Linked DNA regions of Drosophila melanogaster. The protein of the gene in region 4 purifies or fractionates together with the protein of the main gene of each other region. This does not show direct contact. Each region holds a gene or a part of one and is shown on either strand. Other genes may lie near its edges. The genes, in order: fabp, CG7668, CG2852 and CG10265.

Region 1 (11,105 bases), on a different chromosome or scaffold from region 4:
ACGCGAATTAAGCGAACCATTGAATGAAATAATCAACTTGTCAGTGTTGTCACGTTATATGCTCCCCAAATCCCCCCCCCCCACACACACACACACAACAAAGCACATGAATAAATAACACCTAAACTAGTCATCAATGGGTGCTTTTTTCTTATCATCGCGCCGAAAAAAAATGTTCGATTTTAGTTTACTAACAATGCCATGATCTTTGAATATGTGTATTAATAGACTTGTAAACTGGTTTCTATTAGAGCTATTAAGTTTATAACCCACATACATATACATATATATATTCTATTCTTTTTGCAATGAGATGGTTGGACAAACCATTTAATTAAAAAGAAATAAAAATTTAGTCTCGAAATGCCCAGAAAGATATAATTTCTACGCTCACCAGAACATAAGTGACGAGAGGGGACTGGATCGCTCCCGTGGATTCTCCGGCAGTTCATCGGCTTTCATCGACTGCATGCTGATTGCACTGATTGGAGCTAAATTGCACTATATAGAGTGTAGCATTACAAGTACAGGGGACTTGCTCGGTCACCGGGATTGCCTTTGGACGACGGCGGTTGATTAGCACTTTTCGATACGAAAGGGGACACGCGCTCTATTTTAATATAATTAGTTTGGCATTAGCCGAGGAGAAACCAGATGGAAATGCGAGCGATTTCAGATTCCGATCTACGAATTCGATTTCTATTCACGTTTGCGGGAAGTAAACTTTTCCACTGGCACAATGCAGACTTCAATATTGCGTGGCATTCGGATTGGAAGAAGTGCTGCTGCGAGATCACGGTTCCAAAAAAGATCACTTCACGCGGAGATATTCGGTATTTCTATCTGTTGCAGGCGTATTTCGTCATAGATTGCCTTGTATTTCGTATGTGATTTAGTTCATAGCACATCTTACTTATCGCGAACGTATCGAAGTACACATGGCACTGCGCGCTACTCTACCCACGACTATCTGCTCGCTCCGAAGGTCCGACTCGTTCTGACCCGATCCGCTCTCGGGCTCCACCTTAAATACATGTCACTCTCTGGGTAGGTGTTGTGCCAGGTTAAGATCAGCGCTCTTTGTGGGTGCTCTCCAATGCTCTTGGTGGGCTCTCCATTACACTAGACTCTTTGCCACTCTCTTTATATCGCTCTTTCATAGCACTATTCTCGATCTCTTTTGTTTGTGGGTTATTTGTTTAGTCTTTAGTGAGACTAGTGATAAGCAGGTTAACTTATATTTTCCTCGTTTTGCGCGACACTTTGCAGTAGTAACCAACGTGTAACAATGATACGACACTTTTATGGTGCTGGCAAACATTATTCTAACATGTCCGATAAAGCTGTTGACTCTTTGGACTTTGTAGTTATAAAGTTAGGATCAGATAATAGATGTTGTATCTAAAGTTTTACAAACGCAACAGCTGTTGCACGGTCTCATTATTTGTCCATTCCATTACAAATCCAAATTTTATTATTAACTACTTTACCGCACTAGTTGAGCGCAGCTGTTAGTTGAGGTTTTTTGAAAAGTTGATATTACGATTTTGTGCTGCATACTTTCGGGCTTTAAAGTTTCCGAATGACTAAATGCATGTTTCTTCAACGCAGTCCAGGAATGGCTGCATGCAGTCGAAAAATGGACTGCCAAATGGAATGTGGCCATTAACTCCTCGAAGTCAGCCTGTGTAACTTTTACCCTGCGGCCCGGAACTTGCACAGATCTGACTTTTGATGGAAACAATGTCACATCGCACTGCTACCTAGGAGTTCATCTAAATCGGGGACTGACCTGGAGGGCCCACATCTCGTCGGTCAAATTCAAGTCACTGGCGAAACTAAAAAAGCTCGACTGGCTCTTCCACTCCAGTAAATAATACACATTAAGAAGTATATATATAAAGATATACTGAGAGTATATCATATTTTGTATTGATCAAGACGTTACTTATTATTGGTATACATAAATAATATATGTAGTACATATTATGTACATAAGTATGTTTCGTGGCAAACCCCCGTAATCTCTTTTATTTATGACGATCAATGCAATAATAAGGATGATCGGTGAGGGGGGTGCGGGATCATGGACTAATTGAATTAATAAGATAACGCTTAGCAACAAACAAGTCGGTATCCATGTAGGTGGGCCCTCCCACGGGATGGGCAGGCTTATGGAGATCGTGGGTAATCTCAATATTGCATTGCCTGACCATGGGTGGAAGGAAGTCCTCGATTAGATTACAATTCACCGGCGACTTATCAAGAGTTATTCATAACAATAATATAAACGAATTGTGTCGAAAATTATTTATACACATTGGTAAAATGTAGAAGCTCGGGAGATTCTTTTAATGGTGCCACTGACCCACAGAAAAAAGTCTACTAATTCGGAATATATGGGGGGCGAACAGTCGAGACTCAGAAACCTGGATAACGGATATCCTTTTAAATAAAATATACGTGTGTATGTATGTTAAAATTTTAAATCTTGATATTATATTAATAATAATTTTGTACTACAAAGTGAGATAGTCTGGGTTTCAAATAAATTCCCCTTCCTTACTTGCACACATTGGGTTTCCCAATGCGTAATCTGAAATTCGGAGAAAAGTTTAAAGTTCGCGCCAAAATAGGCAAGTTTTGACTGTATAATGCGAGATACATTGCAGTTCCATTGTCAGCATGACAATGTGGCGTTCGTTATTAGGCCGGTGCTTTTGAACCAATTAAGGCTGCAGCCAATTGATCGCGCCAAGGTGAAGGTGCTTGGGTGCTGGGAGGAGCAGGAGGAGCTGGTCAGACGTTGGGTGGCAGTAACACGTCCGATCCATTACCAATATGCGGTGTGAGGGGGAGTGGTGGCCCCCATAGAACCGTTAATATTTTTTTTGGAGAGCGCCTAAAAAAGCTGCTTTTTGTAAGAGCGCCAACGGCTTGGCGCCGACATTTCGATACCTTGGCGGCTGTACTTGGCTTTGCATCTGGTAATCCGATGCTCAGCCGATGCCACATCATTAAATTTTTAATTTGTGAGACAAACAAAAAGGAAACGTGCAAAAGCCGTGCCGCAGAACGAGAGCGAATCAAATGAGAGCGAGAGGCCATTAACTTGCATCTGGCAATGCCGTAGCCGCAACGCGAAAGTATATAACAGCCGGCACGCCGCAGAGCTTTTCATTCGCTCAGAAAATTTCAACAGTGAACATCTTGTGCAGAACACAGACCAAATATTCCAAAAATGTCTTTCGTTGGCAAGAAGTACAAGCTGGACAAGTCCGAGAACTTCGATGAGTACATGAAGGAGCTGGGTAAGTTGCCAAAACTAATTCGCAGTGCATCAAAAATAGAAAACCAAAGTGCTCGAGAGAGCGAGAGCGGGAGTGGAGGGAGAGAAAAGAAGCCGAAAACACGCCACCGAAAATCGACCGGCCGGCATTTTTCGCACTAGTGTGCAAAAAGTTTCATTGGCCAAACGAGAGGGAAAAAAGTAAATGTCTTCCGGAAAATGTTATATCAACTGAAGATTATGAATGAATTCGACTGTTAAAATAGTTTAGCTACATGCATAAATTGACACCTCATTGAATCTGCTGATGTGCGTATGTGTGTGTCAGATAAAATCAATAGAGAATAGGACCAGAGAAAGAGATGCACATCTGCAGCAATAAAAACGTGCTCCAGTTATTCACCTCACCCTCTTTCTCAACTTTACAGTTGCGAATCGGAGGACAAGCAGTATAAAATCCGTAAATGGTTATCTGCGGTAGTCATAAACCCAAAAACTAATTAAGTGTGGGGCCTGAACTTTGCTCCCCTTTTTTGAGTCACCTCCGTCAGCTTTCCATGGGACCGAAATCATCATAGTGCCATTAGCTTTTGCGACAGGTTTTATCTATTTGTGTACTAGATTTTGGGAGAAAGTCTCGCAGTGAACTTTGCACTAGACTACAAGCTTTATAGCTGCGATGATCTTTGCCCGGCTGTCAATTTAGACAACAATGAAACACCAGATATAAACTACATATAGGACACATTCGACTCTCTTACCGATCAAAGTGCAATTTCTATTGCAATCGTGATTATACTATATGGTGCCACTAAAACTGATCAATACCATCGCTTCCTGTCTAGACGCGCCATAGGGACTAGTGGCATTTGGTAACCAGAGACGGGCGTCCAGATTTATTTACCAGACCACCAGTTCGTCAGAACTTTTCGCCTACACACTTTGCGGCTTCGGTTTAATGGTAGACTTGGTCCGAAAGCCACGTACTTCTCAATTTTCAAGCCCAAACAAATCTAAAATCAACCTGCCGTTGGGGCCTCGCAGCACTTATCAGTTGTCGTACATATATAAATGCGATAAACTATATGCCTATTTATGTACACACATTTGTAGTATATACAATGTCGCAAAAGGCACGATAATTAGGCGCGATTACGGATTTTGCACTTTGGGCAGCCACCCCTATCATAGACCACGGTTCGCAATTGCAGGCCAGTCTAATCTATTCAAGGTTCTCCTGTCATATACGATGCATATAAATCGATCTCTGGTACAGTTGCTGGGTTCCCATGAGTGGGAACCTGGCGACTTATCGCGCCACGCCAGTTGACACTTGACTTGAGGGCACTGGACAAAAGAACAAGTTGGTGGTGGTCCATACATAATTGAACATAATTGATTGGACCACTTGTTGGTTTGATGTCTGACAATGTACTAGATTGGAAATAATACATGTGCCCTATTTGCTGGCACATTCGTAAGGTACCAGTGATTCACACTTTGTTTTTGATTCAACGTTTCATTTGGCGAAACTTCTTTCAAATAAAAATATAAATGCAAAATTACTCATACAGCTACGTGCATGCATATAGTATTTCAGTAATTACAAGTCCCATAAAATTAAGTGACAAATTTTAGTACTTAAACACGATTGATTGTTCACAATCGTTAAGTTATCATTTAATGATGGAATTGCTTTGCTTATCTTTCGATGGTAATTATCAGCACTTCAAAGGTTTACGATTTGGAACGTCAGCAAAATGGATCTTGACCACTTAAGCCAGTAAAATATATATTTACACTGCTTGAATGGCATTTATATTCACAGTTCTGCCCTCAAACAACATATGTATATATGGAATGCTGCACCGAGATAAGGTGGTGCTTTGCCAGATCTATATTTAAATGCATGGAGGGGCTTGCCAATTGATAAGAGCGGAGATGAGGATGAGGGAGGAGACGACGGCCCGCATTGTTCGTTAACCTTGAGCACGACTTTTGACGTTACAGCGGAACGGAATCTGCAGGGAACTTCATGGCTCGGCTTTATTATTTTTAATTAAATATGATATGATTTGCATTGTGAGCGCTTTGGGGTCCCCAACTTTGTTGGGCTAATTCAATTATGTGCAGTCTGCCCCATCATTCATCTTTCGGTGCGATCTTTGATTTCCTTACATTCTCGTGAGATGGAACTTCATTAATTTCTTTTCCCTTTCCACTTGCAGGCGTCGGTCTGGTGACGCGCAAGATGGGCAACAGCCTGAGCCCCACAGTGGAGGTGACCTTGGAGGGCGATACCTACACCCTGACTACCACCTCCACCTTCAAGACCTCTGCCATCAGCTTCAAGCTGGGCGTTGAGTTCGACGAGGAGACCCTGGACGGTCGCAACGTCAAGAGCATCATCACCCTGGATGGCAACAAGCTGACGCAGGAGCAGAAGGGCGACAAGCCCACCACCATCGTCCGCGAGTTCACCGACAACGAGCTGATCACCGTAAGCGCTTACTATACCTTGCCGTATATCATCACACCCACCTAACTGATCCAATGCCTCCCCCACAGACCCTCACCATCGGCAACGTTAAGTGCGTGCGCGTCTACAAGGCCGTCTAAGAGACTGATCTAAAACTATAATATCCATACGACTACATGCATTAAAACTAACTCAGATAGCCAATATTCTTGTTGACTAACAGTGAACTAAACCAAATCAAATGGAACTGCACGCTCTGCCCAATGTTAATTTATAATCGCACCCGTACACCCGCAGTCGGTGTATGTGGGAATACTCCTCGTACTCGGGGACCAATTTCCGAATGCATTTGAATAAACTATTACTTGAAGTGCTTTTAAAACATTCCGACTTTCTTTTACACTTCGCTTTTAAGCTTGTTGTTGCTTAGGTTAATGACGAAATGTAAGCTTAGACACAGCAATCAAAATTATATTAGTTTTAGTTATAAATTTATATTTTGGCATTTTTCCAACTATTTCCCAAATTTACGGTTTTGTGAGTAAGCAAGTAACGTGTTTTCATCGAAATAATTTTAGTTCCTACCTAAAAAAGAATTTTTAAGTGGCTTGTTTGTGAGGCGAACAATGCCAGATATTTTAGTTTGGCTTGAAAGTTATCGTTAAGGATCCCGAAATTCGTAGGGTGTCATATTTTCAATGGCTAAAGGGATCGAGAATACCAAATTCAATTACATTTTCAATTGGAGGTCATATTTTTGAATCGATATGAATTATAAAGTTTCAAATTTCAAACTGTTAAAAGAAATTCCACCTTTGGGGTTATAGAAAGCATGTTTCTTACTATCGTTTCTTATTGTATCGTTTATTGAAGTTGTATGTATAAAGAGAAGAGGCACAAGTCTGAATGGTCTCTGATTTGCTTTTGGGCTGCGGATGTTCTGCCCACGCGTTTCCGTTTCCGTTGCGATGCATTTGCTCTTGCTAATTGAGTATAAAACACAATGCTGCTGGGGCTTTTGCACTGTTCGTGTGAATGGGGTCTGTTGCAAGTGCGTGCCACAAGTGTGGGTGGGTGGCATCTGCTGCATTTGGGGGCTGGCGCAAGCGCACACGTTATCAGCGGACAGTTGGCAGCACGGCCACACTTTCGCCGGGTTTTTTTTGTTAACATTCGTCGTTTGCCGGCGGCGTTAGAACTACGTGTATCCGCATGACGCCGAGTTGCGTCAGTCGGTAAATAGTAGACACTTAATTGTTGGTCAATTGGGCGTTATAAATTAAAAAGCAAAAGCGCCGTTATCGATTTTATTAGTGTAGCACTAAATGCTCTGATAACCTGGATAAAACTACCGCGTGGGTGTGCGTAGGCTACGCGCATTGTGTGTGTGTGAACTCATTGTGTAATCGCTAAAGAAAAAATGTTGGTCTACTTTGCGGCGTACCTAACATTCAAAATTTAAAGTCAAATGTTCTTCTTGTTGTTCTTCAGCGGAGCTTTTCCAGTCCGCCCCAAAAGCTCTGTCCACTTTGTTGTTGCTGGACAAACGGGTTTCCGATTAGAGAGAGAAAGAGAGATCTTCACTGCGGTGTCAGCAAAAAAACGTTACTTTGGCGCTACTCTTCGCACTCTCTGCACAGAAAAAAGTTCTCCATAAAGTAATCGAAACGCACTTATATAGCTATCAAAATACCTTTATCAATGTGGAATCAATCTTTAGAAACTTAATATTCCATTATTAGGATCGAACTGATGTATGTGTATGTTACTCGTTTAGGATCGTTTACTAGATAGATCCACGTATCATTTCTTTTATTTTCAATTTCTGATTGATTTTCAAAATAGAAATATTTTACTGTGTACATTACTGAGCGCGGGGAGAGTGGATACCGCTGAAGTGCTGTTGTTTACAAAACGCCGACCATTGGAATTACAGTGCGCCCCTGATGCAGTGAACTATAGAGAATAGCGTGCTCAGTCTATCGATTCAATTTATTTTACAAAAAGTTTGATATTTAGAAGAATCTACCATTTTAAATCTATTGGGATAGAGTTGTTCGGACTGCTGACTGTTGGATCTGAAAATCCAAAGTCCGTTAGTTCCGGGATGCACTGTATCGCTTTCGCTCGTCGATTGGAAAATGGAATTTTTTCGTAGCCCCGATCAGTTGAGATTCAACCGCTGTCCCCATCGCCACTTCACTTCACCGCTGCCTGGGCTTTCCAAAATTATAATTATTTCGGTTTTTTGAATTCTAATGTGAGTAGTAGAGAACAATACCCGATAGCAAAGCTGCATGAGCAAAAATTAAGCGCGACTTTTGCCAGACAGCAGTGCGCTTTGAGTGTGTGGGTGTGGGCTTAATCAACCGCTTTTGAAGTCTGTGTGTGTGTGTGGAAGTCGGTAGAAACTTTCCAGTGCCGACTTATCAGTGGGTATTGTTTATGTTTATCCAGATTTCCAGACCGATACGGAAATTGGCTTAAACAGCGGCATAAAATGAATAATTATGAACTTGCAACTGTGTGCGATTATAATTTATGGTCATGCAAAAGTTATGTAATCGCACTGAAACAATATTAATTTGTCAAGTGCAAAGAGCGAAACAACCAACGAGCCTGCTGATATTGATATAGTACCGCTCCCACTCAAACCGTCCCAGACTATATCACCCGATCTTAAGTAATCACTATTGAGATTTTCGAACATTTGGTTTTTCGCTCTGTTTGTGTTAGTTTGTCGACTCTTCGTTCACAGTTTTCGAACCTTGTCCCCAAGGTGAAATGAATATGTTTTGGGGGAAAAGAGAGTCAACGATACAATGGGAAGTTACCTATGATAATGGCATTGATTACTAACTTTAAATTGGAGCCCGCTGGAGCCATTCCAGCCAAGTGGAATTCTTTTCCTCATAGAAATTGCATAACTAGTAGAGCAGAACTGCAATTAAACAAACATTTAATACGATAATTAAGGTCGATATTCGCATAGATACGCGGTTCACGATTGTACGTCACAGATATAGTTAAATTGTTTAAATAGATGATAAGGAATACTTCAGATATCATTATCTATGAAGAACAAATGCCATATTTTCATACAAGTTTTGGGGAATATTTTGAAATCCGCGCACCCACGCAGAACGAGTCTATTTTGATCCATTTACAACAATAGGATATAAATAACATTCAATCGGACAGAAATCAGCTGGAATTCACTCAGTACAATAAATGAATTCTACTATTTTCTTTCAGCTAATTCCCCACCTAACACCCAGTCAGCATGGATCGCTCCGCCTTCGCGTCCCTTGTCAGCCCGTACCGCCGACGTCCGTGGATGACGGAGCACGGAGCGGCGGCTGCGGACAGCGGCCAGGTGGGCCTTAAGGGCATCGTCGCCGGCGGTATTACGGGCGGCATCGAGATCTGCATCACCTATCCCACCGAGTATGTGAAGACACAACTGCAGCTGGACGAGAAGGGAGCGGCGAAGAAGTACAACGGCATCTTTGATTGCGTTAAGAAGACGGTGGGAGAACGTGGATTCCTGGGTCTCTACCGAGGTCTCAGTGTGCTCGTCTACGGCAGCATTCCTAAGTCAGCGGCGAGGTAAGTTATATAACTTTTGGTTATAGTTCATGTTTTGCTGATTAAAAGATAACTTTCAGATTCGGTGCTTTTGAATTCCTGAAATCGAACGCCGTGGACTCCCGAGGACAACTGAGCAACTCCGGAAAGTTGCTTTGCGGCTTAGGAGCTGGCGTATGTGAGGCCATCGTGGCAGTGACCCCGATGGAGACCATCAAGGTGAAGTTCATCAACGATCAGCGCAGCGGCAATCCCAAGTTCAGGGGATTCGCCCACGGCGTTGGCCAAATCATCAAGTCGGAGGGCATCTCTGGTATCTACAAGGGCCTAACGCCCACCATTCTGAAACAGGGCTCCAACCAGGCCATTCGCTTCTTCGTACTGGAGTCCCTTAAGGATTTGTACAAGGGTGACGATCACACGAAGCCAGTGCCCAAGTTGGTGGTTGGAGTGTTTGGAGCTATCGCCGGAGCAGCCTCTGTGTTCGGTAATACGCCGCTGGATGTGGTCAAGACGAGGATGCAGGGTCTGGAAGCATCGAAATACAAGAACACTGCCCACTGTGCGGTGGAGATCTTGAAGAACGAAGGTCCCGCCGCCTTCTACAAGGGCACCGTGCCAAGATTAGGTCGTGTGTGCCTGGATGTGGCCATCACCTTTATGATCTACGACTCCTTCATGGATCTGTTCAACAAGGTGTGGGTGTAACTCGGCGATTCGGCTTGGCGACTTAGTTACTTAGTTCATCCTTCTACCCCAAAAAACCCACTCGTGCATTTTCCTCTGTTCCCATTGTTCCCTAGTCGACTGTTGCAATAGTTTCTAGTTTTGTGACATATTCCAAGAAAGCATTTTATATACACTCTATACCCGCAATGGGTAAGTGGCTATAGAAATTATACAGCTTGTTTTAAAAATTGAATTAAATCTGAAGAGTCTATTTGAAGTTCCCATATAAATCATAGCTAGACTGGATGAAATAGGTAAGGCTTTTTGGATTATTTAGTTCGCATGAAAACGTGAATATTTTAATTGGTACTATATAATAGTAAACAGTTTTCTAAGTAAATCTCTAGAATAGATTAGGCTACGCAAACGAGTAAACTTCAGATTAGATCTTTCACCAAGAAAGGGGAATGGGTTAAGAGGTTAAGATTACTTCTAGGCGTTTTATGACAGATTGGCAGAGACTTATCTACGTAATTCACTATTTAGCACCAAGGAGGGAAACATTTGCCTTACAGTCGGACATCTGGCAGACATCTGCTATCTTTAATTGCAACTAACAACGGATAGATTGCTTGCACCATAAATAAGGACAGATTACTCTAGTCTAAGGCATTTTAGCGCACCACATTCAGCGGAATGGATGCGTTCTTGCTGCTGACGATACGTCCCAGCATCTCGTCAAGTGGCGCACCCAGTTCCTGCCAAATGCACTTGCCGATCAGCGAGATTTCCTCCAGTGGCGGTCGGAAAGCCACCAGCAGATTAAGGCATATTCCATCAGTGTTCTCCTGCTCCGAAGCTGAGTGCTCCACGCTAAGTAAGCCATGTGGTCGATGCTGTGGCAGCTCCGCACCAAAAATCTCAATCATGAACTTGCGCAGCGTAGAGTGCAGGCTGCGATTCGGATGCAGTTCGACCGTGGGAAAGTGGTGGGCGTTCTTTTCACTGACCAGGATGTTCAGCGAGTTGTGTGCTCGCTTTCTGGCTACAGCCAGAACCCGCAGATAGTTACGTTTGTGG
Region 2 (7,569 bases), on a different chromosome or scaffold from region 4:
GTAGTAATATGATTGAAATGAACAAAACTGCAATCGGCATTGCAGCGGGAGTAGCTGGAACTCTGTTTATTGGATACTGCATCTACTTCGACAAGAAGCGCCGCAGCGATCCCGAGTACAAGAAGAAAGTCCGTGAGCGTAAGAATCCCCATTGCGCCCCAACTGAATTATGAAAGAAACTCATCATTTCATCACTTCCTAGGTCGCCGTCGCAACAAGAAAACCGGCACTGCCAAGTCTGGAGTTCCCAATCTGAACGACCATGAAGCCATCGAAAGGTAGGACACTCCCATGGGAGTCGCATTATATAATGTGGCACGTGTAGTGGTGCCTGGCGATTCAATACACCTCCATTCAAACAAACAAGCCCACATATGTTTCTCCAGCCAAATCGATGTACATATTTTATGTGGAGTCCCATTACACTTGCGTGTTCATCGTGTTGCTGCTTATTGCCTCAGGCATCTAAAGACTCCACTGCCTTGGATTAACAAGCACATTTCAGTGTTTGGATTCTCAGCAGGCTTCCTGCCAAGAAATTCATAATTTGAATATACAAATAGTTATTATTGTTGCAACTGTGCACAATTTATATTATTTATATGCACCTAATTTGCCTGGCATTAATTTAATTCGTAATAGTGTGCATCGAATCAGCTGTTCCAAACTAATTAAACCATGATATTTGCAGATATTTCCTTCAAGAAATCCAGCTGGGCGAGACCCTGATCGCCCGCGGAGATTTCGAGAGTGGCGTGGAGCACTTGGCGAATGCCATCGTCGTGTGTGGCCAGCCGGCTCGTCTGCTGCAGGTGCTGCAATCCTCCCTTCCAGCTCAAGTATTCGCGATGCTGATCGTCAAGATGCAGGAGTTCGGCAATCGAGCGGCCGAGGGCAACGACGGGCCAATCGTTTTGGGGCAGAGCTCGGAGCAACAACTGGACGGAGCCAAAATTATAGAGTGTTCATCTGGAAACGCAAGTATCGACGACCTCGAATAGTACTTGGAGATGGCTACAGAAATTGAGATATAAATTTCAACAGTAGAAATTAAGGGCTTCACATATAAACATTATATTTTTTTTATATATTGATTTCTCTGGATGTTCCCAATACATACAAATAAATATGCGTAAACTGTTAACACTTAACAATTGAGCTTTGTTTTGTGCGTGGTATTTACGTTAGGCGAATATCAAAGATCAACTCTGCAGACCTAAATGTTTTGCAATATGTATGTATAACAGGGTATGTGTTAAAGTGTGTGAAAGTTTATCAACAATAAAAGATTATTAACATGTTGAATATCTTGGGAATAAATACATATATCTCCTAACCGGTTTGATAATAAAGGTATTCCAAAGTTTCTTTGGTATTTAAATATAAGTGATTATTTATAGGAAAAGCGTACTACTGCCATCTAGGCAGCTTAATCAAATGAGAAATGGTTCTTATACACTTATTTAAAGCAATAGTTTGAAAATGCAAAAGTTCCTTTTCAAAGATGATACCCAGTAATTAAATTTACGGAATACCCCCTATGCCATGTTCTAGCCGGACTGCGTAACTCCCTCAGTCCATATCTGGTAACACTTAGAGCTAAACAGCTACGTGCAATTCATCGGATTTTTTTGTATTTTGAGTTGTTACAAATATAGGCACTTGCTTTACATCTTTAAATTTATTGCACGGATTATTGCAAATTCCGTTTGGAGTGCTTTTAGGTACGATAAAACGTGGTGCTGATAAATTAATCCCCATGAAGCCGGAGGACCAGAACAACTTTTCTCAGAATTCGCGATCCTCTCCAGATTCCAGCACTGAGAACAATTCGGTGAGCAATAAGATTTTTCTCGATTCTCGTTACTTACATAGATAGAGAAGAACGTGTGAGAAATTTGAAAATTCTTTTGGTGTATTGATATAAATTCACAAGTAAAATAAAAATCAAAGACACTAAAATAATAATGTCTAATGTCTTTATTATTCTAATGTCTTTGATAAAAACTTTTCGCTTTATATGTACTTCCCCAAATTCCGATTCTAGTGTCTTTGAATAGACTCAGTCAGATCCGATAGTGATCGTAATCATGAATTCATGCACATAGTTCTCAGCGAATATTGTATACTCTTTCGTTTTTCAGAGCAGCAGTGATTCGGAAATGGAATTTGTGGGCACAAGTGCACGGGGAATGCTGAAACATAAGAAAAAAGATGAGAGGAAAATATCGGAACTCACCCGAAAGTTGGCGGAGGCTGAAATAAATCTGAAGGCCCAACAGGAGAAGGGCAGTATACTTGAAAACTGCATCAAGGATAAGGATGATTTTATTAAGACCCTGCAATTGTCGATTGACTTAGTAACGCAAACAAAAGAAATGACCATACAGAAGTTACAAACTCAAATTATGGACTTGCAAAGTGATCTCGACTTGAGTAGGATTACAATTAAGAAGAACGATGGAGGAAATTGTGCTCCAGCGCATGATAAAGTTGTGAAAGAACGAAAGGAGTTAAATATGGAAAATGGAAAATTTCGAGAGGGGAATGATCAGATTGTTGAAATCGAGAAAATTTTGAACTCAAAAGAGGCGGAAATCGCCAGACTAGAATTCAAAATTGACGAGTCGAAGCTAAAAATTGTGCAATTGGAAGGTGCAGTAAAGGCGAAGGACGAAAAGATAGTGAAAATGACAGAGATATTGTCTGAGTATAACGTTAATAATAAGGACCACGATGAATTCGTATTACTGGGCTCTTCCAAGTTGCCTTCAATTAAATTGGTGACACTACCTGATTTCGAACCCTTTGCCTCAGTTTTCGAGGATATTCCTTCTGCCGGTCGTGGTTGGATGATAATCCAGCGTAGAATCGATGGCAGTTTCGATAACGCCACTGAATCAAATATAATAACGGGCTGTGGGGATTTGGGTGGCGAGTTCTGGCTTGGCCTACAAAAATTGCATAAAATGACGACACATCGACGAATGGAACTATATATCCAGCTCGTCGATTTCGACAATGCTAGTGCTTATGCAAGATATGATAATTTTGTTATTGGCGATGAAAAACAGAAATACAAACTGCTTTCCCTTGGCGAATACTCAGGAAATGCTGGCGACGCATTTCGCAGTCATATAAACCATATTATTGTTGGAAATCCGTTTGCAATGGAATCATCGAAATGGTGGGGTACAATGAACTGGTATGTATGAACTTGTTTTTGTTTAATGATTTTGAAAAATAATTCTTTTTCAGTAACTTGAACGGAAAATATCGGAATTCCAAAGTTGAGTTGGACACGACCGATGGCATTTGGTGGGGTAATTGGAATGTTGGTAATAGATATCCCCTGAAGTCGTGCAAAATGCTAATCAGACCAATGCCGTGAGCCAAGTATAATGGCTTGTCAAATAACATTGTCACGGAAATAAAAGTTGTAAAATAATTTCTACCTGTTCATTTTCAGCCTAATTATTGTAGAATGTTAAGTTTTAGTGTCGACCAAAGAGTGGATAACAGGCTTGAAGGTCCTATAAATGCTGTATGCTGTATTTGCAAGTAAAATCTAGCTTCGCTTGGTATTTTTTTTATCGTAATAATACCGACTTTGTTATTTTACGGTCGAGGGAAATTTACATGAAAATCCCACCAGATGGCGCGTTTGATAAAATCGATTTTATCGCAGGAATGCCGTATTAAATTGCCCAAGTTTCTATAAAATATAAATATATTTTGATAAATAGTAATAATAATACATAATAGAAAAAAAAAAAATAAAACATAAAAATCTGCAGAAGGCAACAAATTGCATCTAACAGTGAAGTGGAGCATTTTCCTAGCCTCACAAAATATTTAGCAATAACAAATACATTTGTCTAAAACATGTAACAAGTCAGACATATGCATGTTCTCCGCAATAAAGCTGGGATATTTTTACCAGAGAGGGTCAAAGGACTCAATAACAGAAGGGGAAATAGGGGTGCTCCATGCTCAAGCTGGTCCGGATGAGCTCGAAGTTGCTGTTGGAGGTTGCAGCTGGAGGTTGCAAGCGCAGGACATGGCCCAACTCGTTAGGACCTCGAAACGAAAAGTCGAATCAGTTGAATTTCTGTTCTCATTGACTGCGGTTTAAGTTGCTTTAAATCGCAGTAAACGGTGTGCGTCGTCGGTAGCAATTGAATGAGAAGGGAAAGTATGTTTCAATCGAAAGTCGCGTTGTTCCGTTAATATGACTCGAGCTTAGGCGACGATACGCGAGTCGATAAATGTATCTGCGCCCATACGCATTTCCAGTGCAAGTGATGTTTATCTGTAAAATGCAGAAATATGTACGTATTCGTGTTGTGTGCCACAAATACGTCCGAGTTGACCAATAGTCCACGATAATATTGCTTTACATATAAGTGTAACAGTGAATTGGGGTTGCATAACCCCCTGTGGTGATACAGATAATGAGAAACCAAATATATCCAACCAAAAATCAGTGGAATAAACCACAACATACACCTCCGCACAGGAAACTTCTGCGATGGTCTGGGCTACATTTCTTGAATTGCGAAGCCATTGCAATGAGGATTATGGGAAACCAAAGGGTTCCATTCCTTGTATACGTCCTAGTGATTTGTGATATTTTTAGGGGGCATCAACCTTAATTGACACCCAAATATATTGCCAGGGATCCATGTTTTTAATGAAAACTATAGCATTTAAATAAAGCTGTTTCCAAATTTTGATACAGTTTAAAGACTTTTTTCACATATCAGTTTGATATGTTCCTTTAGAAGAAACCAAAGCAACAACAATATTGTAGGCGAACCAAATAAATAGGACTTCATTTTAATTAGTTAAGTGCTTTCTTTAAAATTGCACTCGACAAAAACCAAAATATTATTTTTTATAATATCTCCATATTACAAATTTTGTTGTTATCTTAAATGCAGCCCTTTAAAACGTAAGATAAAGAGTTATTCGTGAAGGAAATTATTTTGTTTCAGAATTTATTTTTATTGGCGAACATACAAATAATTTAAACATTTAATTAGTCTTGACAATTGGTTTTGACCACTTGTTGAAAGGTTATTAAAGCGATTTTTTTGTATTGTTCGAAAATTTTGTATTTATTAGACAAAGGCCTCGCTTAAATTCGTGTCAATTCGCGCTTAGCAGTATAATCGATCTGGAAATTATCGGCTACGCACTATCGGTGCTGTCATCGAGTCTCGCAATATTCGATTCTTGCAATCGATTTTAGCATTTTCAAGAGAGAGCAATAGCGGGCGGAGTTATCGGCGATCGTAGTTAGTGGTGCATATGTACATGCAGCTGCCAATTAATGTGAGTGTGTAATCCGCGTCTAGAGTTCCGGAAATCAGAGATGAATGAAAATACAAACCGATGAAAGTGATCGCCCCCGAAGTTACCGAGCAACCAGCGAAAACACCGAATATTAGATAGTTCCAGACAAGTTGTGGGATCCACTCTAAATTACAAAGGTATACACACATATGTACCTGAGTGCGTTTGTATGTGGACCAAACATTTTCCAAAAAGATATATCAACCGAGAATTGTGCATTTCTGTGTTTTAAGCCAATAAAATACCCAGTGCCAGGTGCACGAAGTTTATCACGGCGATTCGGAGTGATGTGTGTGCGTGTGTTTGTTTACTTACCTTATCGGAAAATTAGGCCCACGAAAAAGAGACACATGTTATCTTTGTACACCGATGTGCTATGTACATATGCATCGCCTATGTATGTATGTAAATGCTGCACTGCTATGTAAAAATTGGAGTTAGTGCTCGTAATGGTGTGACTTTGTGGACTGATTTTTGGAGTGAGAATCCAGAAAAGCTAAGAAGAGTTCTCAGACATTGCTTCTGAATAAACATTAAAGTTGAAAGCACTCAGTGATTCACATGGCCTGTGCTCGCTAACCCGTTTCGACTTCTTTTCATGCCTTATACATATGTACATACATATGTGTGTATTAGGGTCTTATTACTCATATTTACCTACGCGCCGCACCAATTTCGCAACCTTCACGTTTTCATGAATCGAAAAGTCGAAAATCTCGTAATTTCCACTCCCAACATCCCAACAAGTGGCTCCCTCAGTCAAGTGATTATGCTGATCTGCTGTGCTAGTGAAAATTCATTTTAAAAGTGTTACCTTCACGGTTCTTTAAATTTGTAAACAATAAATTTGAGACTTGAAAGCGACGTGTTATGAAAAATATTTCAAACACTTCTTTTATTCAGTTTTATAGGAAAAATGAAGCTTTACTTTTCACACGATTGGTTTATTAGTTTTTCTTATCTGGCAAAGGTGTCAAGTAAGAGGGCTTTGTGTCGTACAACCTAACTACATGGATATCAAGATATGGAGAAATTCCCGTTCCTTGTGATTATTTACAATTTGAAGACCATCCAGAATGTAGGGCATCATTACATTATAATTCGTTTGGAATTCGAGTAATTTATGGTGGCATTGGTAGGCTGTGTCTAAAATATTACTAATGAATAAAGTTCAAAGATAACACAAGTGCAAAATGAGAATTTCATGACATACACCCGTTTATCTTCAGCAGTTTTTTTTAAATGTTCTAAACGGTTATTGTCATATCATTCTATTACATTGAATTCTATTCGTGTTTCCTTAAAAGTGAATAAGCCTTAAAGATAGAAAATGTTTTGTTTTTGGAAGCAAAGTGAATTACATTAATCACGCATTTTCGAGCCAACTAATTATAGAAACTACTATAAATGACATCAGAAGTGTGGCTGATAAGCTGGTCGTGCCCCTTTAAAAAAAAAATCTAGGTCAAATCGATTGCGGAAGGCTTCTCTTACAATTTTACTTGACGCCCAATCATCTTTTGGGAAAAATTTAAATTTATGCTTGTGCCATATGAACAAGCAGTTTTTAAGAGTGACATTATTGAAATGTACTTATAATTTTACCTCTTTGTTTATTTATGTTATAATATTTACAATTTGCTTCATTTGTGCACAATTCTTAAGCCTTAAATCAGGTACATTGCAAAAGTTGTTAAGCTTAAACACTTATTGTCAGATTGAAAGGAAGGTGAACAGTGGCGCAAATTTGCCAAAATTAGAAGCTGAACAGTTCACTTAATAGACGACTATTGTTGCTGGTAGATATAATCGGTTAGACAAAATGGAGCACTTTAAATCAATTATGTAGAAGAAAGATTGCAAATTCCACCAAACGTAGAGATGCCCATCTCGTCCGCCGTTTGAAATGCTTTCCCATCATTGGAGCATTTCCACATTTTATGCGAATTATATGTATTATGTAAATGTATTATGTACCATAAAAAATGGTTAAAACTGGACGTGTTAAATAGCCGAATATTTGATTTCGCCTCGCAATGAGTGATTTACATTACATTGTGTTGTGCCTATCTGATTAACAATTTGTTTAATTACGAACATTAAAAAATTAAGATATTTCCTCGTAGGTCGTTAATATTTAAATCCCTAATTCTAAATTGAGCTTAAACCAATGTCTTCGGATGGGATTACCGAATTCGGCTTTGAGAAAAC
Region 3 (7,229 bases), 7.7 Mb from region 4:
CTTTTCTTTCATTCATGTTCTTGAGAATGCATTCTTATTTTTCATAAAAAACTGCTCAGAATGCACTTTATTCAAAACTTTAAACCTAATTTACTTTGGTCGACTTGGAGTTGTTTTTCTTATTCCAAATATAAAAGCCGCCAAAACTCAGGGCCACCAGTAAGCTTACGACTAAAGTAGCTATTCCGGCATAGAACACGAAGAGGTCGAACAGGTGCAGCTGGCAGGAGGAGATCCCAATGCCTCGGGTTCTCAAAGCCGATCCTCCCTTGTGCCGGGCCACATAGTTCACCCAGAAGAGAGCGCTGGCCAGAGCGCCAAGAGGACGGTCCCTGAACTCCAGAGACACATCCCGGATGGTCAACTGGAAGTGTGACTCGAGGAGTAGCCTGTCCACTGCCCAGTTTAGTGACTCAGTTGTCACATTGCCCTCCTCCAGCTGTAGGCCAACTCCTAATCGCACGGCTAGCTCCATGTTCCGAGCTTCATGCTGGAATAGGGGCAATCCCAGAATGGGCACATTCCGCATGATGCCCTCCTGCAGGTTGAGCAGATCTCCATTGGTTAGGAAAGCCTTGACTCTCGGATGCGCCAGGATGTCTATCTGCGGCACTGCATGCTGGATCATCACATTCTTTGGCAGTCCCTCCAGGGTCTTGACGTCGTGACAGGTCCAGATTATGCTCTGCTTTCTGGCGGAGAAGAAGGCAAACAGAGTGTCGAGTTTCTCCTTGGGTAGCTGGCCACAAGCCTGCTCATTGCCCAGTTGAACGTAGATGGCTCCAGGACGCGCCTCCTCCAGAAAGCGCTTCACATTCCAGGGCAGCTCCTTGGGACCACGGATGTGAAGTCCACCGGCGGGAATTATCTGTTGGATACTAACTTTGGGAGTTATCAATGGCACATGACTATTGAGCAGCAGCACGGATAGCTGGCTGGCCTGCAGCTCGGGGATAGAGCTCTGCAGCTGGAAGTACTTGGTCACCAACTGCTCCTGACCGCCGTAGTGATCCTTGATGAACTGCTTACGGCGAGCAATACATGTCCGAATATTTCCCAATCGTACGGAGAAGCTCATTTCAGGTTGATCCCGCTCAAAATCGATGGGTGAACAAGCGGCTGGTACCAGTGCCTCTTGTACGGCATCCATGTAGTTGCCGAAGTCCGTGGAAATAATCCCTACAACTGGCCGCTGATGGAGAGCTCCCAGTGCCAACAAAGCCTCTGTGTAGAAGTAGTCCACAAGGATCACATCGAAATCGAACTCAAGATATGACATCTTCAGCAGCTTTTGGATGGGCTCTTGGGCGAGGAAGTGGTCCAAAGCACGCGCTCCAACGCTGGCCAATGACTGGCGGAGTTTTTCAATTGGCAGGAGTCCAAGATCAGCAAGGTTTCCCTTGGGTGCCGCCTGTTTTTGCACTGTATGTGGATATTGCTATACTTCGTGAACAATCTTCTCCAGACGGCCTACTCACATTCGCTCCAAAAAGGAAATTCCGCTGTCACCGTTTCGGTAACGTTATCCAGAGATTCTCCCAAACCATGACCGGTATATACTTCAATCTAATTCAAACAACATTCTTTTCATTTCTTAAACGTTTTAAACGACAGCACTGCCACTTACTGTGTGCTCGCGATTGGCCAACTCGGTGACCAGAGTCCGCATCACCGCAAAGTGACCCTCGTTGACATGGGGAAACAGTACCAGGATCTTGGCTGCCTGTGAAATCTGGCCCAGAGCTAGTCCCAAAATAGCCAGCAAGATCCAACGATTCCATTGAGATTCCTATATGGTTTAACATACACACAACTAATTAGGTCATTTCCGAAAGTACACATCATCGAATTAAAGACAATCTCTTCTTATCTGTCTTCCAGTAGCTTCGAAACTATTTGGATGACACTTTTTCTAGAACTTCTTGCATCCGTTTACCAACCATATTCCCTATTATCAACGATCAGCTTGGGATTATACTTAAGTTCCGGCCGTAATGCAATTGCATTCGCCGGTAAACTCTTCCGGTTGTATTGAGTTTACGAATGAGACTGAACTTATCGCTCCCAGCGCCTTGACTCCCCACAAAAACAAAACACTCAACTGATTGCTCTCGGGAATATAATCTTAGAAGTACGTCCAGAATTTCTGTGGTCACTGGAACATGTGTGGCACATGAGATTGCCACCAGACCCCAATACACATGCGTTTCATATAGATCCTATTGCTTTCATTAATGTATACACAGCGATTGTGGGGTCTGTGAAAGGGGTACAATTGCACATATGTACGTCTTCATATATATGTACATATACGATTCCCCACATTTGAACGATATGAGATCGTCTCTTCAGTTCTTGGTTTCTCTCGCTCTAAACAAAAGATTGGGGGACGTGAAGTCTAAGGATTGGCAGACATATGCATTTCTAGACAATGTTGTTGCATTTGAGTGCATTCGCTAATTGTAAAAGTTGCCAATTCATCAGCGTCTGAGATCTGAAAAATTATGCTATATATAATTAGTTACTAGAGGGCTGGTTTCGGGCTTTCACCTCTATATACATGGGATAGTATAGTATGGTATGTATATAGTAATCAATATTTAGTCCAAGGGTTGTGAAAGGAAACTTTCTATAAAGAACAGGATACTTGATCGAAAGATGAGCCAGTGGCACTTATTTAAGTATCAATCGACCCGATTAACTTCTGCAGAGACAGTCATGCACCTGTTCATTCAATCATATACAATTAGTTCCCAGCAGGCCCAAACAAACTGAATAAATATACAAATGAACTCGTCTGTGTGTTCTTTAATTTGTCGCAAGTGTGCAAATCAGAAAAATGTGACGAACCGAGCGTTGTTTATCAACAACAAAGAGAAAAAACAGACAGAACATGGGCAATCTAAATCGAGAACGGCACAACATACAAAGGCAAACAAATTGGCGAAGAAGGCACAAACCGGTTGCCACTAAGGGAAGTCAGAGCCAAAAGAAAGCGATGGAACCAAAACCGGTTCATTGAACCTGCACACCACCGGCATCATGGTATAGACACACAGAACGATTCCAGCTCTTTATCACACAAAAAATCATTCTTTATTTATGCCATTTCTGTTTTTAGTTGAGCACAATTACTTGCTTACGGAACGAAATGTAAATAAACATGGCGAGCTATGGTAAATGCAAATGTCTGGAAAAATCGATTATGCGTTTATGCTTAGTTCAAATCGGTTATGTTGCTGATGGATGACATGCTCCCCAAACACTTTAGTCGGTGGCATCGGCCTTGGCCACGGAGAAGGCCTCCGAAACGGGCAGGGTGCCGCTGTTGGCGATGACCACATCCTTGACGGGACGGTCGCGGGCATCAGTGGCCGAGTTCTCGATCTGGCGCACCACATTCATGCCCGACAGGATCTTGCCGAAGACGACGTGGCGTCCATCCAGCCAGCTGGTCTGCTTGGTGGTGATGAAGAACTGCGATCCGTTGGTGTCCTTGCCAGCGTTGGCCATGCTCAGCCAGCCGGCGCCATAGTGCTTCAGCTTGAAGTTCTCATCCTCGAAGCGCTCGCCGTAGATGGAGCGACCGCCGGTGCCGTCGCCCTTGGTGAAGTCACCGCCCTGGATCATGAAGTCCTTGATGATGCGGTGGAACTTGCTGCCCTTGTAGCTGCGGGGTATAAGAGCGTTGCATGATGGTCAGTTTTGTCAGCATGGGAATTTAAATTTAAAAAAAAACTGGGTTTAGAACTCGAAACCTAACCAAAAAAGAACATGCATACTTATAAATTCAGAGAAGAAAAAAGAAATACCCAAGAACTGCACTTTTATAGTATGGTAGACTTAATAACAGTTGGCGTTCTTTGTTAACCCATTAGTGCCGCTTTGTCAACTGATGTATGCGATTGGCCGCTCAAACGCCACGTAATTGCTTCAATCTGAGAGCCCCGCTATAACCTACAAAGTGCCGCTGATTAGCGGCATCTTTTGCTGGCCTAGCGGTACCTGGCACCCTACTATGTTGGGGTATTTTCGGTACTCAAGTACCCTACTCACCCCTCGCCCTGCGGCTTCAGCGCCAGCTCCTTGAAGTTCTCCACCGTCTTGGGCACCGTCTTGCCGAACAGACCGATCTCGATGCGACCAGCGGGCTCGCCGCCAATGGTGATGTCAAAGAAAACCTACGCAATCGGAAGCGGTTTATTATTAACAAGTCATCTCACTTGATTTATGGCGCAGCAAATGTGTGTGTGTGTTTGTGTGTGTATGTACGTGGTGTATGCAGAATGTAAGGACGAAAGTCCAAGGAGCACGCACCTTCTCGGTCACTTTGGGACCCTTGCTATCGTCGGCAACAACGACGCCGGCCACCAGGGCTACCACGAAAACGGATAAGAACAGCTTCATCGTTCTAAATATTCACAGCGCTTCAGTTTATTCCTCAAGCGACGTCGCCAATGGATATTTCACGACTGAATTTTCGGTTTCTGTTAGTGATGTAAGAAAACTTTGTTGCATCGCCAATCGATGTTTTCCATCGTTTTTTATGTTTTTGTCGAAATATCGATGCTTAAGTGTGACCATTCGATGACGATGTCTGATGATCACACATTCGGGCGGAAAATTCAAATTCAAATAGTTAATACGCCGAAAGCATAAGTTAAGGTTTTCGTACGAAGGAACAAAGTAAGTTCGAAGAGTTGACTTTATTGGTATAGTTTTTAATATTTTAGGGATTAGAAGTCCAGTTTGCATTAGCACGTAGCATTCTCTCTTGTTTTATTGACGGTTCTGTACACAAAAAGTAAGTAAAAAAATATGCTTTTATTTATTGGTGTACTGCTATTTGCGTCTGAGATTTGTCCATATCCTTGGCTGCCTTCTCTGCTCTCTTCTTCTCCCTGCTGGCCAGAACTTTCTCCCTGGATTTCTGGGCCCTTTCAGCGCAATCCTTGGGTCGTGTCTTCAGGGTCATATCATCCACGGCCGCCTGTTTACGGGCTGATCTCGAAATGCATCGTTCCATGCAGCTGATGGGCACAAATCTTCCAATGAAGCAACCGCAGTGTGAACAATAGTGATTGATGTCCTGGCGGCCAGACCATTTTTTACTGAAATAAAGTGAACATTACGAAAGATTTATAAAGCTTCATGCAGATGGCCAACCAAAGTTTTGTGAATCCCAGAAATCTCTGCAGGCAAGTGACCAACTCCAGTTGCACCAAACTGGTTCCAGACTTCTCACACGAAGGACAACGGATCCAGGTGGGCTCCTCCTTCAGGTATCCCACTTGTGGCTTGTGGCTGACAATGATGGCCACAATCTGCGGTTCGTCCACGGTCATGATGCGAGTTCCAGCGAGAACGATCGGTGACTGAAAGATGGATCAAATTTGGAGAGATCATGGGAGGGAAAATCAAAATCAGAATCACTCTCCCGATTTCTCTTAACCGAGGCGTTGGTCTGGTAATTAAGTTAGTGCATGGAAATCAAATGAGTTATTCTCTCTGCGTTACAAATGCCATTGGATGTACAGTGTAAAAAGTATAGTGTACATTTTGAGCATTACACATTAAATAGTAAACTTTTATTCGTTTCAAACAGCAGTATATTTATTATTATTATTGAATATAAATTAAATGACAAAACTGATCTACATTTGTTCATTGTGTTATAATAATTCGGATCCGATGATCCTTCTTCAGTGGGTATCTAAAGTTGTGGACGGCGGTATACGCCCAGGTACTCCCCGCAGGCACCGCAGTGATGCCTCTTGGTGCAGCAACGCAGCCAGGAACGCACCACACGGGTCTTGGCCTTGGTCCTGCAATAAGGACACGTAATGTCGTTGGGGCCGGGGCCCACGGCAAAGTAAAGTGGTTTCGGATCCTGAGCCATTTCGCACCGAAAGATGTTGACTGCTTTAAAAACAAACGCAGACTGAGGCTAGCGAAGAGAAATTGTAGGAATAAAATGTTCAAATGATATGCAAAGAGAAAAAAATCGGCCCAAAAAAGAGAAAATGTGATATTTTTGGCTTTATTTTTGTTTCGATGGTATTGCAGTAGTGGGTGGGAAATTGAGTGTTTAGAAGAATTTTAATAAATATGTGAACAATGCTGCCTAGGCGGTGGTTGCCTTCAATTTGAGTGGTTGCCTCCTCTTCATGGAACGTCCAAAGTAACAGCCGCAATTGCCGCAGTAATGACTTCGATCGGTTTGTTTGCACGGCACATAGTAATTAAAGCAGCAGCAGCAGCAGAAGGTCCTGTAAAAGTATTTTATAAGTTTACGTTTCCAAGAAATAGGAGAAAGTAAGGCAACCTACACAAAAAGACATCCCACAATGCGGTTTAGTTCACTGGCCCACCACTTCAGATCATTTTGCACCACACTCAGATCCTTGATTCCGCAGGCGGGGCACTCGATCTCCACGGGCTCGCGTGGCAGGTTGAGAAAAGTGCCTGCCAGGGGCGTGGCAAAGTTCTCGTAGATCTTGCGCTCCTTTCGGTCCTCCAGAGCCTTGGCCTCCCGCTCCCTGATCTCCTGCTGCGTTTCCGCTTCCTTCTCCGGCAGCGTTGTCGTCATGATCGCTCAACAATCGAACTGAAAGCGAAACGCTGCCAAGCACGCTGGCAACCTGTTTCCAAACTCAAAAGAGAACGTGAGTGCACAGAGAGAAATAATATGGAATTTTTGGCCAATATATTCCCCCGGTTTTCCGCCCAAAAATATGCAGTTTTTTTGATCGAAAAAGTAAAAATAATGAGCCAAATATGGAATGGGTTACATCGTTGAATTCATAATACAATTTTCTATCGACTGGTGTTGAAGCCTTAGATTTTCAAATTTTCGCCTTTTTTTGCATAATATCATGATGTTACCCCTTATAAAAAATGCGAAAATTAAAAAAAAAAAAATTTTGAAATCAAACTAAAAAGTATTTTCCTTCGTTAGTTTGCTTAATTAGGTGCACAAAACAGTATTTATCATAGCATTGTGACTCTTTTTTCTGAACTTATGGAAAAAACACTGTTTATTGAAAATGTACTTGTGATAACTTTGAGTTTTTGAAAAAAAAAAAAACTATGAATAAATTCTCAACAGTTAAGCTATATAAAAAAAGTATACTTTTGTTCTCAAATAGTGTTTAAACAAGTACAGGTTTTATTTCTGTAAGTGTATTTTCCAACTCTGGCAAAGAGTATGAGTATGATTTTTGAAAGAG
Region 4 (6,975 bases):
GGGAGCAGAGTTAAACTCTCCGACTTCCAGTGCCTTGCCATCACTGCCCGATTTCCAGCTGGAGCTTGAGAAGTGCGACTATCCCTCCATAGCGGGCAGCCAGATGTCTTTGGGCGCAAAAACTCCCCAAGCAGCTGCCGAAACTGAAGATGAGGAAGATGCCTGCGACTACGATGAAACGGGAGCCGGGGAGCTCAGAGGTGTAGTGGATGAACGCGATTTGGAGGCGCTGCGACAGAAGGTCAAGATCCTGGCGGTGCGTCCCATCGAGGGCGGAGATGGACAGCAGCAGAACGATGTGTGGGAGCATGAACTGAAGGCCACGGTGGACAAGCTGGATCACTTGATGATGCTGAAAGAAACAGCCAAAAGGCAGCAAACGAACCGCTTGAAGTCCACCGAACAGCGACCCGATTCATTGGGCGCCGAGGCCTTGAAACGCCACTGCGATGTGGTCGAGGTGAAGGTCACCTCTTGCGCCACCACAGCCAGCTTGCCAGTCACACCCCATCACCAGCTGAATCACCTTGCACCGCCCACGCCCATTAAGAAGCTGCAACAGCAACTGGCGCCCTTGCCCTCCGTAAACGTTTCCATGCGGGAGTTGCCCCTGTTGGCCAGGTTGTCCAACGAGCTCCTGGATCGCAGCAGTGCTGCTTTCGGCGGAGTGCGCAAGACGCTGCGTAGGCGCTCTCTGGAATAGTGAGCAACTAGGGGGCCAGAGGAGACTTCTTCAGCCAGCCCCATATCAGATTTGTTTATATTAAATGAATAATGAAAAGTAATTGTAAAACGTTGAACGCCGCATTTAAATGTGCACCACTATCGATAAGTCTCTACACCCACAGGATATAAACACCAACTATTTTCGTATAAATGTTGATTACATTCTAATCTATTGTCTCCGTATATGTTTCTCACTGTTAATACTTTAACTATGTAAATGTTTTGTGATTCGAGAGAGCTAAAAAGAAAAGGATTGAATGATATGCAAACAATAAGCAGCTTTAAGTTAATGTTAAAACCCTAAACTAATAAACCCAGGTAGACTCACTAATTTAATTCAAATGGGCACATGCACTAAGTAGTTTAGCCTAAAAATACCACGAAAATGAAACTCTGAATAAAAACAAGTGTCGAAATGTAACGAATTCAATTAGATAATTAAGCCTGAAACTCTCAAAGCTAAATGTAGTGGATTATTAAAAGGAAAATGCAATGCAGTTTTGTTCGGTGCCCGAGAGTTAAGTAAGGAAATGAACTACAAGTATTTGAAATAGAAATAATATTGAAACTTGAAATGAGAATAAAATTGAATTCTAATTCAAATTTATAGGTGTTTTACTGGCGGATTAAATGTATATTAAATTATAAGTGCTTTAGTAGTGGGACGTACCAAGATTGTTAAAAAACATCTGTTTTTTAAGTCTGGGCTTGGTGACCTTTACAGAGAACTAAACTTAAGGTTCGCTGTCAATGATGCAACTGCAGCCGAAATATTGCAAATATTATAAAATTCACCAAACAAAACACAAGCGGTTCTAAAAATTTCAAAATGATGTCATTTTCACTGCATTGAATGCCAAATCTAAGGTGGCAAAATAAATATTCTGTCCCCAAATTATGTAAGCCCGAATTGGCTGCCATCGTCGTCAGCTGACCTACCTTTTAATTGGTACCGCCTCGGCAGGTGGGTGTGCACACGCGAATTTTGGATTTGGATTCGGCAGTGTTTCGAGTACTACAAAATATATATAACGCCGGGCGCAAGCACAAATATTTCCAATTACTTTCGACCGAAACGCGTGCGGCACCAAAAATCAACAAGCTGCTTCTTCTTCTTACACAGTGATGCCAACTTTTCAGCTACATAAATGGACAACATAAAAAAAGCTAGGACTGTTAACATTTTGTATGGAACATGTGATTACCGTCTTCAAAGTATTTAAACGGCATTGTTTGAGTGATATATAGTTTTAATTATTTAATATAGTTCAATACATTTATAAGCTAAATAGCCACCACTAGTGTATAGTCGATATATTAAATCGATAACGTTGTCGCATCAAAAGGTCACACTGCTTGAGCAAAAAAACCAAAATAAAACATTTAAAATTAAGCGATTTGATAATAAAGAGACTCGCTTGCTATTAAAGTTATAAACGCTATCCGGGAATTTATTAATCTCCATTTAAATTAAATAAAGTTATATTGCTAAATCCTCGCCTCCAGAGGCACATTTAATGGCACCATCCTTACACTACGGCGAATACAACTACGATTTTCTTACTTTGGTGCATCTGATGCCCTTGGATTGCAGTTTTCTCATGATGTCCAAGGTCTCTTGATTTTTGGTTGGATTTAGCTCAGTCGTGGCATTCAATTGGGTACTTGCTCGCTTCACCTCCACACCGCATGCTCTGAGTTTGTTTAGGATTTTCTGGGTGCCATCCAATGGAGGAGTTGATTTGCTTGTTATGGTAGGAACTGGTTTCTCGGGCGTCTTGGGAGGTTCTGGTACTTCAGATATCCTTGAAGAGACTGGTATAATAAGCTTCGATGCAGGAGAAAATTTCATGGGTACCAATTGAGATGTTGACTGCGTTGTCCCGGTAGCACGAGATTGCAATGACCTTACAGGATGTACAGGAGCTGGTGGTGCCTCTGGAATCCTTTCCTTTTTCTCCGTGTCCTGCAATCGCTTCAGATCTTCCAGCACAGTGGGCACCAGAATGATGGCCTTTTTCATCTTTACTGCTGGCGGTTGAGGGGAAGTCAAGCAGGCACGGGATCTGCGCTGCTGCTGGGAGGTCAGAATGGTACGTCGGGTGGTGGGAGGGCTACGCGGACGTTTCGCAGGCACCCCTTCCGGTTCCTGAGGCTCCTTGGCGAGCGGCACTACATCCTCCTTTACTATATTTTCCTTGGAATTTGTCTTTGGTATGGTCTGCACGGTGGGCTTGGGATTGGTGTACCAGCGTGGATCCTCCAGCTCTGCCTCCCAATCGATGGCCGTGTTGGTGTTCTTCTTAACCGCCTCCAGGTCGTAGATGTGAATCTGCAAGAAGTGAGTTCAATCAAAAGGATTCTCAGGAAGTTTTCAGGGCAACGCCGGATCATGGAGCTCCCTTAGCTGCCTACCTCCTGTCTGCCATTCACCAGTCTCGTTTCCCGATTGGCATCATCAAATGCCAGCGGTTCGATCGGCGTTACTATGTATTTTACTCCGGGGCAATCGGCTAGGTGGCGTTGGAACGATTGGAGCGTCATAAAGTGGCATTCGCAGCTGCGGCACAGCGTTAGAAGTCGTTTTTGGTCGTCGTATAGAACGTCGCCAAGGCGAATCGTCTTCATGGACTTTATTTTACGCGATCCATTCATTTTTTTTGTAGCCAATTCGCGCCAAGAAGAAAAATGGTATTAAAAAATTATTTCAGTTTGTTTTTGCATTCGTGCAGAGTGGCCAGACGTTGAAACGTAGTAGATGTCAACGATTTTTAGTTGGTACAAAATCTGACATAAAAATACCAAACAGTTGCTATTCATTTTGTTGCGCGCCTAAATTCAAAGCACACAAAAAACCAAATAGGAAAAACACATTACACATTAAAAAAAAAAACATTTAGATATAAGATTTGATAAGGATGACGATATATAAATGGTATAATAAAATGTTTGGAATAATTTAATATAAATATTATATAAATAATTTATGTTTATATGTAGTTTTGCTCAGATTGATAAAAAATAGATGAAAACATACTTTCACTATGTAAAATAGAACGATTTTTTTGTTTACGGTTTTTGGTCCATGAATCGAAAATTACTGGAAAGATTTTATTTGAACTGCTCCTGCTCATTTTTTGCTGCATTAATAGTAACTCTCTGCTTTCTTTTACATTGTCGAATAAGTGGACTAGCGTTTTCTTTGTTCTTTTTCCCGTGTTGGCTTTTGTTTCCTTTGATTAACGCCCATGCAATTGAAATTAAATCGCTTGCAAATGATTCGCAAGCTACCTAAAAAAAAATTGGGCAATCCAAAAAATGACATCGTTTATGCAGCCGGGGACTGCGCCATTTGTAAGCTTGCCATTTTTTCGACCAATGTGATATGGAGCCATATGGAGGGAACATTGTCTGATTTTGACTTCAACTCGAATGTCTGTCTAGTGTGTGTGGAAAACAAATGAAAAGGAAATCCAGCACTTTTTGCGTACCTACATATATATTAAATTTTTTTTTTTTGTTGTTGTAATGTTCCGCATAACGAGCACGGACCATGTCGAACCACGTGCAGCATAATCACCCGGCAGAGCGTAGGTGAGTATCGTTGGCATATTCTTGATATTTTTCAAACTGGCCCACTTTTGGTTGAATTTTCCTGCTATTCTTGCAACTTAATAAGTGAACTTTAAAGAGCCGCATCGCTTACAGCCCGGAAATTGTATGGATCTGTGGGTCGCAGCTCCAGCGGCAATTGGATGAAGTTGCCGATGCTGATGAGGCTGCTCCTGCAGTTGCTATTCCTGCATGCAATTAAGCCAGGGACGAGAGCGAGGCACAACTTGCCACTCTGTGTGTCCCAAAACTGCAAGCTGACCATGCAAATTACGTTGCCCACACTCATACTTGCACACGCTCTGCTACACACACGCATTCCTGTCGCCTCGTTTGGGGGCCTGCGGGGCTCCCCGGCATTTGAGTGATGCACCAAGTCGAGGAAGCGGAGAAGGTGGCCAGCTAGCTGGAACCCCATTGCCGCTGCCACTGCCACTACTACTACTACTACTAACTGCCACTGCCAAAGCTAAGTTAAATGGACCTGCGGTGCACTCGAGCAGCCAGGACGCAAACTACAGTGGATACCGCTTAAAGTATATAACTGTTATTATTTGTATTGTTTATTGTACTGATCCTAAATAGAAGATATTAGCTTCCCTTAAAACGCCTGACTGTGCTGTGATGCTTCTACACAAATTAGACACAATTCGAAACTAGCTTGTTGGCTGCTAACAGTTTGGATATAGCCAGGCACCACTGTACGCCGTGCATGCAGATTGAAGTGCAGACCATGTCAAGGTAGCGGCTGCAGCTTTGGCCAGTAGATTAAATTAAACGTGGCAAAGGAGACGGCGCCAGAAGAGGACGAGCTCCGTGGCTAGGTGGCTCCATGGCTCCATGGCTGCATGGCTCCGTGACTCCGAGGGCTCGCCAGCCAGCCAGCTTGCCAGGAGGAGCAACTGCAGCCATGCGATGGCAATGGCAACGGCAACGACAATGGCAACAACATTAAACGTGTTTACACCATGTCCGACCAGTTGATATGCCAACTGCCCCCCGACCTGTCCTGCACCCCACCACACACACACACACTCACTGGCACACACACACACATAGGGATGCGTAACCAGGCATGAACTGCTCTTGGACAATGAACACATGCCATGGCAGGGCATTACCACCTACCCATCTGTCCGCCCAGCCGCCCACCACCCACCACCCGTCCACTATTGTCCTGCTCTTTGTTTACTGTTTTTCAAGGGGTTTCGCAGCCGAGTGAACTAGCAAAAAAAATGAAAGCAAAGAATCACAATCACTGCATACTTGCAGGTGCAGCTGCTGTCATAATACAATAGAAAAGCTGGCGCTACAATTGCCACAGATGTTGTTGTTGCTGTTGTTGTTGATGTTGGTGTTGTTGCTGTTGCATTGTTGTGGACTGCGAATTAACTAAGGCCACCCCATCACAGTTCTCTTCCCCACTTTTCGCTGGCACTATTTTCAACATCTTGGCCGTGCGACCACGTTTTCGTACAAAAATGTTGCATACTTTCCGCAGCTGCACAACTACATATATGTATATAGTGTGTCACAGTATGTGTATTTGTGTGCGAGAGTGTGTGCATGTGTGAGTTGTGTCGCCATGTGTTAAGTAAGTTCGGACAAGTGGCTTTTCCAGGCATTTTCCAAGCACCTTCGCCCGACACTTGTACTGTCACTTAAGCCAAGCATCAAGAAAATGTCATTTTTCATCTGAAAGTAGTGCACAAAAACATTGATTGCAACACACAGTGCCGTCCTTTTGGTTTCACATTTGTGGGCATTATCAAATCGTCTTGGCTTTACTGCCATTTAATTTCATGGTCGGAATTATTCATTCCATTGGCTTGTATAAAATAAACCTACTCTTTTCAATTAGCAAGCTGTGAATTACTTTATTGGTATATACAATAAATAATAATTACAAAACGGAAAAAAATCATGCCTAAAATGGGATAACACTATGCATTATTATCTGTTGAGAACAAAAGTTAGTTGTTTTACCTTAGATGGAGCATTAAGATTAAAATTATTTATTAATATCTTTAGAATATTAATATTTTCATTGACTTTAGTTGGTGCGGGTTAAAAATTAAGAACGCCACAAATTCTGCTGCGTAATACAACTAATGGCCACATTTACAATGACAAACACGGTTGTGTGTTCTAGGCCAACTTTTCCCAAGCGACGGACCAAGTTTGCCAGTAATATATGTGGGGGCATTGTTGGGCTTTCAACTGGTAACTGGTAATTGTAACTGGTGACTGGTGACTAGCAACCTGGAAGCTGCAAGTTGCAAGTTGCAACTGTCTCACCGTCGTCAGTTTAGCCGGAGGAATCAAAGTCCAAATATTACGCTCATTTATTGACCGACGGCAAACACAAACGAGAAGTCAAATGAAATTGCTATAAACGATGGACCGATGGAACATAGAACTTTTCCCCCTACCCCACCGCTCATTTCCACAGGACCTCGTCTATTGACAGGGGCATGTGTTTGAGTTCGGGCGAACTGGCGGACTTAGGTAGATGGAATTCGGGGGAAGATAACTTCCTGGCCATATCCGAAGCAAGTCGTCCTCAATGGAACCGGGGCCATCTAGCCCAACCAGCCCATCTAGGTGGGGCACAACAATTGCAGGAGATCGGCAATT

The links.
Region 1: the proteins of CG10265 (region 4) and fabp purify together in Drosophila melanogaster (affinity purification with mass spectrometry, with the first as the bait; one large-scale study listed by BioGRID). This does not show direct contact.
Region 2: the proteins of CG10265 (region 4) and CG7668 purify together in Drosophila melanogaster (affinity purification with mass spectrometry, with the first as the bait; one large-scale study listed by BioGRID). This does not show direct contact.
Region 3: the proteins of CG10265 (region 4) and CG2852 purify together in Drosophila melanogaster (affinity purification with mass spectrometry, with the first as the bait; one large-scale study listed by BioGRID). This does not show direct contact.

The regions. Positions count from the first base shown.
Region 1 is NT_033777.3:11,559,124-11,570,228, reverse strand, and holds fabp (fatty acid binding protein), read left to right. Parts: upstream 1-3,174; 5' UTR 3,175-3,241; coding exon 3,242-3,311; intron 3,312-5,117; exon of another isoform or gene 5,118-5,414; coding exon of another isoform or gene 5,415-5,445; intron 5,446-5,517; coding exon 5,518-5,789; intron 5,790-5,857; coding exon of another isoform or gene 5,858-5,908; exon of another isoform or gene 5,909-6,171; intron 6,172-6,936; exon of another isoform or gene 6,937-7,129; intron 7,130-7,932; exon of another isoform or gene 7,933-8,028; intron 8,029-9,023; coding exon 9,024-9,155; coding exon of another isoform or gene 9,156-9,377; intron 9,378-9,436; coding exon of another isoform or gene 9,437-10,064; 3' UTR 10,065-10,333; downstream 10,334-11,105. Other genes in the region: Mrp4 (multidrug resistance protein 4), read right to left, coding at 395-471; sea (scheggia), read left to right, coding at 9,052-9,377, 9,437-10,064; CG10898 (uncharacterized protein), read right to left, coding at 10,700-11,105.
Region 2 is NT_037436.4:20,001,159-20,008,727, forward strand, and holds CG7668 (uncharacterized protein), read left to right. Parts: upstream 1-1,577; 5' UTR 1,578-1,759; coding exon 1,760-1,834; intron 1,835-2,144; coding exon 2,145-3,205; intron 3,206-3,258; coding exon 3,259-3,391; 3' UTR 3,392-3,676; downstream 3,677-7,569. Other genes in the region: Tom20 (translocase of outer membrane 20), read left to right, coding at 9-138, 203-278, 692-1,001.
Region 3 is NT_033778.4:22,641,865-22,649,093, forward strand, and holds CG2852 (uncharacterized protein), read right to left. Parts: upstream 4,481-7,229; 5' UTR 4,408-4,480; coding exon 4,318-4,407; intron 4,182-4,317; coding exon 4,057-4,181; intron 3,671-4,056; coding exon 3,268-3,670; 3' UTR 2,782-3,267; downstream 1-2,781. Other genes in the region: Ugt317A1 (UDP-glycosyltransferase family 317 member A1), read right to left, coding at 86-1,422, 1,479-1,566, 1,628-1,789, 1,941-1,943; CG30195 (uncharacterized protein), read right to left, coding at 4,829-5,111, 5,167-5,345; CG34446 (uncharacterized protein), read right to left, coding at 5,714-5,899; CG34445 (uncharacterized protein), read right to left, coding at 6,125-6,269, 6,330-6,589.
Region 4 is NT_033778.4:14,990,371-14,997,345, forward strand, and holds CG10265 (uncharacterized protein), read right to left. Parts: upstream 3,466-6,975; 5' UTR 3,382-3,465; coding exon 3,142-3,381; intron 3,059-3,141; coding exon 2,276-3,058; 3' UTR 2,153-2,275; downstream 1-2,152. Other genes in the region: pcs (parcas), read left to right, coding at 1-703.